Linked DNA regions of Schizosaccharomyces pombe. Changing the gene in region 1 together with any one later gene gives a genetic interaction. Each region holds a gene or a part of one and is shown on either strand. Other genes may lie near its edges.

Evidence for each region.
Region 2: of fim1 (region 1) and adf1, changing one enhances a phenotype caused by changing the other (phenotypic enhancement), as found in Schizosaccharomyces pombe (one study listed by BioGRID).
Region 3: mutations in fim1 (region 1) and acp1 impair growth when combined (synthetic growth defect), as found in Schizosaccharomyces pombe (2 studies listed by BioGRID).

The regions. Positions count from the first base shown.
Region 1 is NC_003423.3:3,105,590-3,110,378, forward strand, and holds fim1 (fimbrin), read right to left. Parts: upstream 3,220-4,789; 5' UTR 3,153-3,219; coding exon 2,919-3,152; intron 2,843-2,918; coding exon 1,354-2,842; intron 1,300-1,353; coding exon 1,178-1,299; 3' UTR 653-1,177; downstream 1-652. Other genes in the region: guanyl-nucleotide exchange factor Lam2, read right to left, coding at 63-130; SPOM_SPBC1778.07 (carnosine N-methyltransferase), read left to right, coding at 4,372-4,789. UniProt on the Schizosaccharomyces pombe protein: Binds to actin, and functionally associates with actin structures involved in the development and maintenance of cell polarity. Plays a role in cytokinesis. Plays important roles in mating and in spore formation.
Region 2 is NC_003424.3:4,824,601-4,827,763, reverse strand, and holds adf1 (cofilin), read left to right. Parts: upstream 1-1,637; 5' UTR 1,638-1,686; coding exon 1,687-1,689; intron 1,690-1,740; coding exon 1,741-1,846; intron 1,847-2,009; coding exon 2,010-2,314; 3' UTR 2,315-2,507; downstream 2,508-3,163. Other genes in the region: C-24(28) sterol reductase Erg4, read left to right, coding at 1-1,081; fmp40 (adenylyltransferase), read left to right, coding at 3,115-3,163. UniProt on the Schizosaccharomyces pombe protein: Controls reversibly actin polymerization and depolymerization in a pH-sensitive manner. It has the ability to bind G- and F-actin in a 1:1 ratio of cofilin to actin. Binding to F-actin is regulated by tropomyosin.
Region 3 is NC_003424.3:4,583,590-4,587,084, reverse strand, and holds acp1 (F-actin-capping protein alpha subunit), read right to left. Parts: upstream 1,871-3,495; 5' UTR 1,831-1,870; coding exon 1,761-1,830; intron 1,715-1,760; coding exon 1,521-1,714; intron 1,457-1,520; coding exon 950-1,456; 3' UTR 549-949; downstream 1-548. Other genes in the region: til1 (tRNA(Ile)-lysidine synthetase family protein), read left to right, coding at 1-501; succinate dehydrogenase subunit Emi5, read left to right, coding at 2,060-2,352, 2,409-2,535; peptidase Icp55, read right to left, coding at 2,752-2,922, 2,967-3,074, 3,124-3,345, 3,389-3,466. UniProt on the Schizosaccharomyces pombe protein: F-actin-capping proteins bind in a Ca(2+)-independent manner to the fast growing ends of actin filaments (barbed end) thereby blocking the exchange of subunits at these ends.

The DNA.
Region 1 (4,789 bases):
TAGTACAGGTGTACCCACTGGATTTGAAGTAAGAATGAACTTCAAATTCACTAAATGCTTACATGATAGACGGTACAGTTTCCTCAACTGCCTGTTTCATCAACGACGACAACTTCTTTGGCTTAATCATCTTCGAATTTAAACTTAGATAGCAGTAAAGGTAGCAATATGTATTTTAAAGTCCAATCGGCAATAACGATTTAACCTGTTTTGAATGGTGGTTATAAGTAGTTTGTAAGCTACGCAGTTTGGTATCTGATTTAAGGATACGTAGAACTGCGGTGAGTTTTCCTTGTGGTCTATTATATTACAATACACAGGTTGTATAAGTAGCAACTGAGTATAGGTATTGTATTAACTGGGTTATAATGTTACCTATCACTAATATAGCTCATAACTGAACTGAGGAACGAGGTTCAGTTGTAACGCTATTTATAATATTTCTAAATAGTTGTTATCAACGGGTATCTATGTATATAGAAGGATAGTTACCCGTGATTATCAATAAACGGATCTTAGCTAGTATTCCAACATATGACATATAGTGATACGCAACGTAGTGTAGCATAGCGTAGTGTAGTATTGCTGACATAGTTGGACAATATACGGTGGACGTAATGTGTATTATGTTAAGTAATCTGATAATAAATAATATTGTTATAAGATTCCGAATATTTTATTAAAGTAAAAAATGTTAATCGACATATATACATTTTTATTTCTTTTTATTGTGTTTGAAAATTAGGGCTTGGTAGACCAACGTTCTCCCAACGAATGCTTTATTTAGAAAGCTGATTTGCATATGCAGTCCGTACTATTTGGGCCTACAGAGACTTACCATTAGTTACATATACAAATGATCTTCCCTTCATTATGAAATTAAAAAGCTAACTATTTTCTACAGTTTGAGAAAAAATGACTACGTTTCGTCGTGCAGCTTCAGAATTCCTCAAACATTAATTAGGATAAGGATTACCCAATACTAAAGGGACAAAAACGGGTTAAGATGTATCATAAAACAACACAAAGTTATCTATAATATGACATACCACTAATAACATAGCGAGTCAAAAGCGACGTACTCACTTCCGAAGTTGTTCGCAATATAAGTAATTAAATTGGGAAAAACACATGTGTTAAATCGTTTCGTTAAAAGCTATAGTTAAGTCGAAACAAATTATACGGCCATTAAACTGCCAATAAAATGAAGGACCAACCGAGGACGAACGGCCACAATATCTTCTGGCAAAATAAAGATTACGGCACCCAACTTTCTGGCGATAGAAATAGCAAGACGAGCTAAACGATGTGTTAGTAATGAAAATTAAAAATATATCAAATATATATACATACCATTTTGAATAGCAAGTTCTTCAGTAGAACCATCGGTAACAAGATTGTAATCAACATATTCGCTCTTAATTCCATGAAGTACGTCTAAGACGAACACACCAGTGGAAATAGAAGGATCACGGAATGAACGAATTTGAGAACCTTTACCACCTTTAGCAGCCATAGAATTGGCCCACGCAACCATGTCACTATCTGAAAGAGTTTTACCTCCACGGCTAAGACTATGTAGAGTTTTGGTAATGTTCATACGCATCATTTGCCAAACCAATGCTAAGGTGAGTGTACGAGAACCGTCAGTAATATCAGCACCTTGTATTCCTACCAAAGAAAAACCTTGATTTTTTCCAAGGTCCACTGCATAATTACAGTTTTCAACAGCTTTGAAACGCATCATTTCATCTCCAGATGCAGGTGCCTTGTTCACCTTTTTCCAGTTAACGGTATTAGGTGTGATTTTATCGTAAGCTTGCAACAAAATCAAGCCATCTCGTAAATTATTGAAGAAGTCATGAATGGATGGAGTAACATCAAGAGAGTTCAACCACAAGGTAAAAACACGTGCCTCACGCTCACCTTCTGCATCAAATGGTTCAATCTCCGGCTTTTCCTCTTCATTTAAAGGCTCCAAACCTGGATGAGTATTAAAGAGATGAGCAACAAAGGCAAGGTTAAGCTTAGGGTTCCCTGCAACCATAGCGGTAGGTGTAAGATATTTGCGGCAATCCAATTTTTCAGCATTCTGTAAAACCTGTTCAGCACGCTGCAAAACATCTGTAGTTTGAAGAGGAGCACGTGAACAGAGTTCGGGAGCTAATTGGTTGAGCAGCACAGTATAATTCTCGCCATCTGAAACATCTTTTGAGAAGTTAGAGACAGTACGCGGCCAATTGGCAGCCTTTAAGTGATAATTGAACCAGCGGAGAAGAATTTTCTCAGGAGGGAGACGGAGAAATTGGTCAAGGGTTTCATCCTCTTCGAGAAGGCGGTAAAGCTCGGGATGTAAAGTAATATCAATCTTTCCAAGGAGACCGCGGCGAATGATTTGCCAAACAAGACCAAGAATCAAATGTTCACGACCTTCTAAAATATCGCCGGCACCAATGTTGGTAATGGAGATACCACCCATAGCTTTTGCGGAGTTAATAACAACATTGTTATTTTCAATACATTTGAAATTATCAAGAGGCTTGTTATTTCTCTGTTTATTGAGTACACGCTCATCAATGGTGTCGGGAACGCTGTCATTAATTAACTTTGAGAGGATTAAACCATCTTTGCATTGATCGAAAAACTCAAAGGTTTCAGTGTTGATGGGGACTCGGGAACCAACATCAGGGTCTCCAGCTAAGACGGAATTAATATGCTTGATAAATTCTCTTCGCTCTTCCTCATTAATGGTATGAGAAACACTTGAGGAAGATCCTTTGATAGTAATCCGACCCTTTTTTACTTCAGTACCTTCTACACCTTTTTTTAAAACATTGAAAATCTATATGCATTAGTAATCCAATTGATGAAGCGATATAGAGACACATATCGTGAAAATTACGGAAAACATTACTTACTCCTACAAAGTCTTCGGGTTCAACACGTCCAGACGAATCAACGTTAACTTCACGAATTGCTTCACGGACCTCATCGTAAGAACCCTTCTTTGAATCTTCAAAGGCTTTAATAGTGGTAGGTTGATCTAAATATCCCTTTCCATCCACATCAAGTTTGTTAAATTGGTCGGTTAAGGTTAGAATTTCCTCATTAGTGAGCTCCGGATACTTCTTTTGAAGTTTAAGAGCTAACATTTCTTTAAAAGTAAAATTTGACCAAAAAATGTATAGTAAACGAAACCACACGATGTGTGCTTTGGGTGGCTTGCAGTTGCTACGTGACAAGGATTAACGTCGTGTTGTTGATGCACATACATCATACTTACAGAAGCGTAGAGCAAAACTTTGATCCGCTCGCTAAATGAGTTAATACACGTTTGCTTAGCCAATCTGTTAAAAGTTAATTTGCAATTGTAAAAAGTAATTTACTACTTGACGATGTCTTGCGTTGTAGCTTTAGATTGAATATATAGCTGGGATATCAACTACATTGAATTTTAATTTTTTTTACAGAATAAAAAGCTAAACGTAAGTCCATATCAAATTAGCGATATTACCGAATTCAAATGCCATAAACATCACAAACTAGCAAGCTCTTTCAATTGAAGTCAACTGATGCATCGACTTGAAAATTACTTAGTACTATATGTCAAGAAGCCAAAATTTCTACTTACTATGATAGTAGATCCTTTGTAAAACGTTGCAGAAAGTTTTTCCGGCCGTGAAAATTCGTGTTTTTTTTCTTTTGTTCAAGGGTTTAGGTCACTGAAGCCAACAATTTTTGATACAATATAAGAAAAAGAAGTAATTCCCGCTTTTAACTGCGCAATAGGATAAAAGATTAGCCAGATGTCACAGGGTTAAACTTTTAACCTGACTACCTTTTCACGTGTATTTCCAGTCTCGTTTATAAGCTGCAATATAAATATTGTATGATATTACTGCGTGCACCAAGATTCTCTTATATTATTTTCTTATAATCTACAAAACTCACAATACTACTATAACGATGCTTCAGAAGATTAGCTGTTCCGGTATTGTTGAAGCATGGTGAATTTCCTTTGCGGCTGCTGTTGTAAAATATTGTCTGACAACTATCCAAATAAAACCTATGGGATTTTTGCAAAAGGCAAACACTATTTTCATAGAGGCACCGCGTTGCAGGGATTTTCAGCAGAGATGATTCAATATTGCAATCAAACACAGTAGATATAAACATAACTTGAAAAGCTAATGAAATACATAAAACATAATTATATTAACCATAATATTCTTAACTTATTGGTTTCTTCAACACTTCCAACTTCAATGAAGCAACAAGTTAGAGGTTTAACTTCTCCACAACGCCAAAATTGCGACTTAGATGATAAAAATATTAAAGTCTAGATAGAGCTCAGAAACATCAAAAAAAACTATGGAATATGATGAGGAAGAAGTAAAAGTTTTGAAAGAAGTTTTAAGCGCGTTCTTTTTGTACAGGCAATATGCTCATACAATAACACAACAGAAGAGAAAATCGATGAGCAGGTTGTCTTTTGAACACAAGGACTTACTCTTACAGGACTCTGACAACAATTTTTTAAAGCATCTTTCAAGGATTGATCAATGTATCGAGCAGAACAGCGTGCTTGCTGAAGCAATCGCTAACGCAGCCATTCCTGTGTTCTGCAGTGATTTCGATCAAAATGAGTTATTTCATGTCAATGTTGATATGATGCAAAAAGTTTCAAGCACTCTCAAGCAAATTGCGAGAGATTGGTCGACCGAATGTGTTGAGGAACGCCGTACTACATATGCTCCTTTCATCGAGGAACTAAATTCACTTTTCCCAT
Region 2 (3,163 bases), on another chromosome or scaffold:
TCCTGGTGTTCGGACGCAAGGTTTGCCTTTAAAGCATCGCAATAACGAACGTCTTCCTTACTTATGCAATGCTATCTGGTCTTTTTACACGACAATTGTTATTCTTGCCGTTCTTCACGTGACCCACGTATTTCCAATTACTACATTTATCGACATGTTCGGTCCTTTGATGAGCGTTGCAATAATAACCGCTTTTGTCTGTACCTTTGTTTTGTACACTGGAACTTTGCTTTTTGGTGATCGACTTTTTGATAAACCTCATCGGTTATCTGGAAATCCCATCTACGATGCCTTTATGGGAGCTTGCTTGAATCCTCGCCTTGGCAAATTGCTTGATTTTAAAATGTTCTTTGAAGTTCGTATCCCTTGGTTTATCCTATTCTTTATTTCCGTTGGTGCTGCTGTTCGTCAATATGAAACTTATGGCACTGTAAGTCCTCAGGTACTTTTCGTTTGTCTTGGCCATTATTTGTATGCAAACGCGTGCTCGAAGGGAGAGCAGTTGATTGTTCCAACTTGGGACATGGCTTATGAAAAGTTTGGTTTTATGCTTATCTTTTGGAACATGGCTGGGGTCCCATTTACTTATTCACACTGCACCCTTTACCTTTTTTCGCATGATCCATCTGTTTACAACTGGTCAACTCAATATACAACCGGTATTTATGTTTTGCTTCTTTGCTGTTATTATATATTTGATACTTGCAATGGTCAAAAAAATCATTTCCGTAATCAAATTTATGGTACTGAGGTTCATCGCAAAACATTTCCCCAACTTCCCTGGCTTATCATCAAGAACCCTACCTTTATTCGTTGTGCAAATGGCGGTACTTTGTTGACTTCAGGTTGGTATAGGTACGCTCGTAAAATTCATTATACTGCTGATTTCTTTCAATCATTGTCATGGGCATTGATCACCGGTTTTCAGTCCCCTCTACCTTACTTTTACCCATGCTTTTTCTTTGTAGTCCTTGTGCATCGTGTTTCACGTGATATTAAAAAGTGCAAAGCTAAGTATGGGGCTGATTTCGATGAGTATTGCCGTATATGCCCTTACTTATTTATTCCCTATATATTTTAGAAATGTCTTTTTAGTCCCTTCTTTACTTAATAAATTGGCTATTCAAAATTCCACTTGAAGTGTTTTTCTACTTTAAAATTCAGTTAATTTTTGTGAAAGTTCTCAAATTTGATTGAGTAGCTGGAACATTCCTTAAGTTATGAACGAACAAAGTAAGCAGCTCTGACCGTTTTTTATACAATCTATTTCTAGACTTAAAAATTATTAACTTCCAAGTCTTTTTGCATAAAGATTTTTGGAAATAGCGTAAGGAATAGCTAATAAATAGTAACAATCATCTTGTTTCTTCATAGCGATCCATTTACAGTTAAATTTTTTTTTGCATTAGTTCACTCACTTGCTAGATATATAAATTAGTGTGGAATATTTAGGCGGTAGTGCATACGCATAACCATTTGCTATTATTTTTTTGTAGAACTGTATGTTTTTTCGCTTATATTTAATAAGGGTCATGCAACATAATAATAAGAAATTATAGACTCTGCTTGTTTAGAGTAGTGCGCCACCCTTACTTGGGGCGACGGTATCTACTGATGCGAGTAGCCCTCCCCTAACCAAACCAGTGCCAACCACACTAGCTTACCCGCTATCAGTAAATAAATAATATGGTATGAAATATTTTTGTTAACTTTACATCGTGTTTATTTAACATACATTAGTCTTTTTCAGGTGTCAAAGTCTCTCCCGAATGCTTGGAAGCTTTCCAAGAGCTCAAGCTTGGAAAGTCACTCCGTTACGTAGTTTTCAAAATGAACGATACCAAGAGTAAGTGACGAAAACGATTTAGATGGAATTTGAGAAAGTCCAATATCCCTTTTTTTAAAAATAAATTTATTTATCTACATTGATATATATTTTATGTTTGTAATGTCTTTCTATGTCGTTTTTATAATTATGTGGAACCTTTCACTAATTTTTTTTTGTTTAGCTGAAATTGTTGTTGAAAAGAAGAGTACGGATAAGGACTTCGATACTTTCCTTGGTGACTTGCCTGAAAAGGATTGCCGTTATGCTATCTATGATTTTGAGTTCAATCTCGGAGAAGGTGTTCGTAACAAGATTATCTTTATTAGCTGGTCTCCTGATGTTGCTCCCATTAAATCTAAGATGGTTTACTCTTCTTCTAAAGATACTTTACGTCGCGCTTTTACTGGAATCGGTACTGACATCCAAGCAACTGATTTCTCCGAAGTTGCTTATGAGACAGTTCTTGAGAAGGTTACTCGTAAGTAAAACACTTTTGGTTACGATTTCTTGACTCATGCGTAATACGAAATGAAATTAAATAACTTCGTTTCGGTATGCAAACCGATCCTTCAACGCTCCTTAAATATCTTTTTCTATATATTTAGAACTATAAATACAAAGATTTAAGTGTACGTTGGTTTCCTGTTGATATTTAATTTGTCAATAGTATATCTACTTTAAAAAATTTGTCATGTGATAACGGATGAGTCGGTATATGAAAAACACTGCAAGTTATTTGCCAATGTAATTGACAAGCAATCATAGAGAAATTAGTTCTACGCAGTTTCCACCACTAGCTGAAATGTTTGAGTGCCTGGGTGCTTGCAGGTTTTTATTCATCTACTTCAAGTATGGTATAGTAAGTAAGCTTAGTTTTATTTTCTCAGTTCCGACTTTTTAATTCTGTAGATTTCATCTACCACTATTTAGTCATTGAAATTGTTACAAATATTCCTCTATATATAATGATTCTGCATTCCTAAAAATGCTAATTAACAAATTACGAAATCCAACGATCTACAAAGTAATGCCATTCCATATTAATATAACAATTGCTGTTCATTCGCTATCATTTTAAAATGATGTTTTCATTAGTTTGCTCATTGATCACATAGCATGTATTTTACCAGCTATTTTCAACGTACTAGTCTACTTGATCTGTTATTGATCAAATGTAAGTGAATTGCTGCTTTTATTGTTATTATAATCAATAAAGTAAGCAAATTTACACTGGGGCACAATCAAACATTGGTATGCAAAGAACATTAATTCGATATACCAATACGATGTCAAAAAAATTGAAGGATCTCCCTGTCAGCTCAACGTTCACATCAA
Region 3 (3,495 bases), on another chromosome or scaffold:
TTAAGGTGTCTAACATTGACTACAAGTTGCAGACAGATTAAACGATCTTCTGTTGTAAGCCTTTGTAATTCAGTTTTTGATGGAAAAAAGCTAACAATTGCTAAATGTCTACTCACTTCCTCTTCTATAAAGGACGACACTAAATTACAACTCCAAATTTCCAGACAACCATTTAGTAAAGCTGAATTGAAAAAAAAAACTATAACCATAAATCCTGATCGTTATGTTTTATGGGATCACAGGTTTTGGATAAAGTACAGTTGCAAAAATACACAGACTACACTTATACTTAGACCGTTGCTTTCCAAAGATCTAAATTCATTGAAGGGATTTTTGAGTAAGGAAGAGTTTCTTAAATTTTGTATACAAGTTCCGGGCCATATCAGGTTTACTATTCCAGTCTTGTCGGAAGAAAACGATAAGTTAGTTGGAATACCTACTTTTGGGTTTAATTTTAGAAGTGATATTATCTCAAACTGTCTACACAAGTTCAAGCTTTAATTGCTGCTTGAACCATGAAATCAATGTTAATTAGAGATACAAGATTTGTGATTTAATAATGCCTCATTATTTATTTATATTATCACAAAGTCAGAGGTGAAAGTCAGATGCTCAGAGCATATTCTGGTGATAAATAGCACGACTGATGCTTACACACAAAAAGTAATACGCCCTTAAATTACTGGTGACGAGCGGTAAAAAAATGATGAAGAACTTGTATTATTGATCGTAAAAAAATAATTTCCTAAAACTTATAAGAGTTTAAGAAAAGAGCGTGTGAGTTGCTCTTGTAAAGTTTTAGAAAGTAAACGACTAGTAATTATTAGTCGTATATCGAGCGACAATGTATATGTATTTAGGAAGAAGGAAAAGGAAACAGCTTGAATCACCGTCTTAAAAAATATCGTCGCAAAAAAATTTCCAAAATTTATAAACACATATAAGTGTTTCAAGTATTTCTCATACGGATGCCACTAACGTTTTCCCAATTAATTTTCTGGCGAGTGACTGGAAGTTGACGACGCAATTCTTTAAACTTTTTGTCATTAAGTGAAGAAAGTTCAACGTTGAAGGACTGTTGAATTCCATTTTCGACTTGAGCCAACACTTCATAAAGCTTACTGGTCTCCTCGACTGTAGCAGAAATAGGACGGGATGCATCCAACCAAACATTTCCGTCTTCATAGTAATGAACACGAATATGCGACCTGCCTTCCAGTTTCTTTTCCGAAACGTTGTAATTGCATATACAGCGCCACGAACCGTTCCAATAGTTCTTGGGATTATACTTTGAAGAAACCAAAACAATTGTAAACGATTCCACTTCATCGCTTTTTTTGATGATTCCAAATGTTACATCAGATAGATAGTGATCCGAAGCAACCTTTTTAATTTGCTTTACTATTTCATCGGGAATTTTTATGGCTTCGGTATAATCTTCAACGTTTTCAGCTTCCTATGAATACTGTTAGCTATTTAACAATTATCACAAAAAAAAGATTTGAAAAATTTAACCTTACCATAGTTTCATAATTAATGGTAAATGATTTCTGTAAAACTTGATCATAATAGCGATTGCCCTCTAGACGATTATCAGCTGAAATAATTACTTTTTCGTCATCCGATATGCTGACAGAAGAGTTGTAGTCTTCATGATAAAGCTTCAGTTGTTCGTGAATTGCTTCCTCATCACTTAGACCGATGTCGCGTATATCTATTATATGCATTAGAATGTTGAGGTATTCAGCACTTTAACAAACCATGAACTACTTGATTAACTTCTCCTGGAGGAGATTCTCTAATGAGTTTGTAAATTGCCTCCTTTTCCATCTTTCGAAATTTCTATAATGTGGTGCGGACAATGGTGAATGGTAAGAAACGAATACGGATGGTGAAGACAATGCCGCAAAACTATCACCAAAGAGTTGTATAGTCTACCAAATCTTCCAAAAAAAGGAGCTATAACCTAATTTTTTTTTCTTTTTATTCATATATAAGTAAATATAGCCTCGGAGGTCGTCTGGTTAATCGCTTAGTTGTTCATTTGAAAATATCAACAATGTTAAGGAAGACAAACTTATCTAATATCACGACGCTTCTAAGAAGTGCAAGATGTATGAATAGAATGCCTCAACTTCGCTTCGAGCATACCAAAGGTGATTTAAAAAGGGTGAATCGCTCTTACGAGACTAGAGACGCAATGTTGGCAAGACTTAAATATCAATCTAGAAAACGGGGAATATTGGAAACGGATTTGCTTTTATCTAATTTCGCCAAAGATCAGATTGATAAATATCCAGTATCTCTTCTGCGAGAGTATGATCAATTATTAGATGAGCCCGATTGGGATATGTAAGTAAATGAACTTGATATACTTAATGTGCGCTATTTTAACGTCCAATTTTTAGTCTATACTGGTGTTCAGGAGAAAGGGAAGCACCTGAAAAGTGGAAATCGAGTCAAGTCTTCAAGGAATTGAGCAAATACTGTCGAAGTCAGAGGAATCATACACTTCGAATGCCAGAACTATTTTGAAAACGTTTCTTGTTTCTCTAAACTAATGTTTATTTTTGACGTTGACTTTTCAATAAAATATTAAAAAAAAATTCGTGTAATGATTAAAATTTAACAGTATATATAGATTTTTTTCCCTTCAATCTTACTTCTAAGAAACTTAGTCCAAAAATAATGTCTTTTATTCTACGATAGTCAGATGTAGTCCTAATTCTTAGTCAATAGGTAACACAATCTCTACTTTTTCAAAGCTTCAATTTCTTCAATTTCTTTTGGAGCAGCACTAGTTAATACGAACGGCTTGTCATCACCAACGATTACGCTATCTTCAATTCGAATAGCTATTCCTTGAGCCCATTGAGGCCATCCGTCTTCTTCTGGAACATATAGTCCGGGTTCTATGGTAATCTAAACCCCGTTTAGCAAATAATCTGAAAAGAACTTCAACTTACAACTTGGTTTTTGCGCAACGGTTGGTAACCATTATTCGTAGAACAATCGTGAATCTCTAGTCCAATCTCATGCCCAATTGAATGCGGATACAATATATCTGTAATCTCCTATAGCCAAGGAAGTTAGTACGAATATTTTGCGAAGTAGCAAACTTACCCGTTTAGTTCCATGAATGCCGACCTGCTTCAATTCTTCATGCATTAATTTAACACTTTCAAAGTGAATATCAGCCAAGCTCCAGCCATTACTGGTGCAACAATACTTAATACATTTCTTTTGCACATTCAGAACTGCTTGATATAAATCCCTTTGTACAGTACTAAATTTGCCGTTGATGGGCCAAGTCCTCGAGATATCTGTTACATAACCACCGAATTCCTGTTAAGCAAGTGTTAATTGACAAAAAATTGAAGGCACTTACACCGCCAGCGTCTACCAAAACCATTTCGTCAGGACGGAATATATCATTATTAATTGTGTAATGGATAGTCAAGCCATTCTTCTTTGTTAATAAAGCTTAAAGTAATA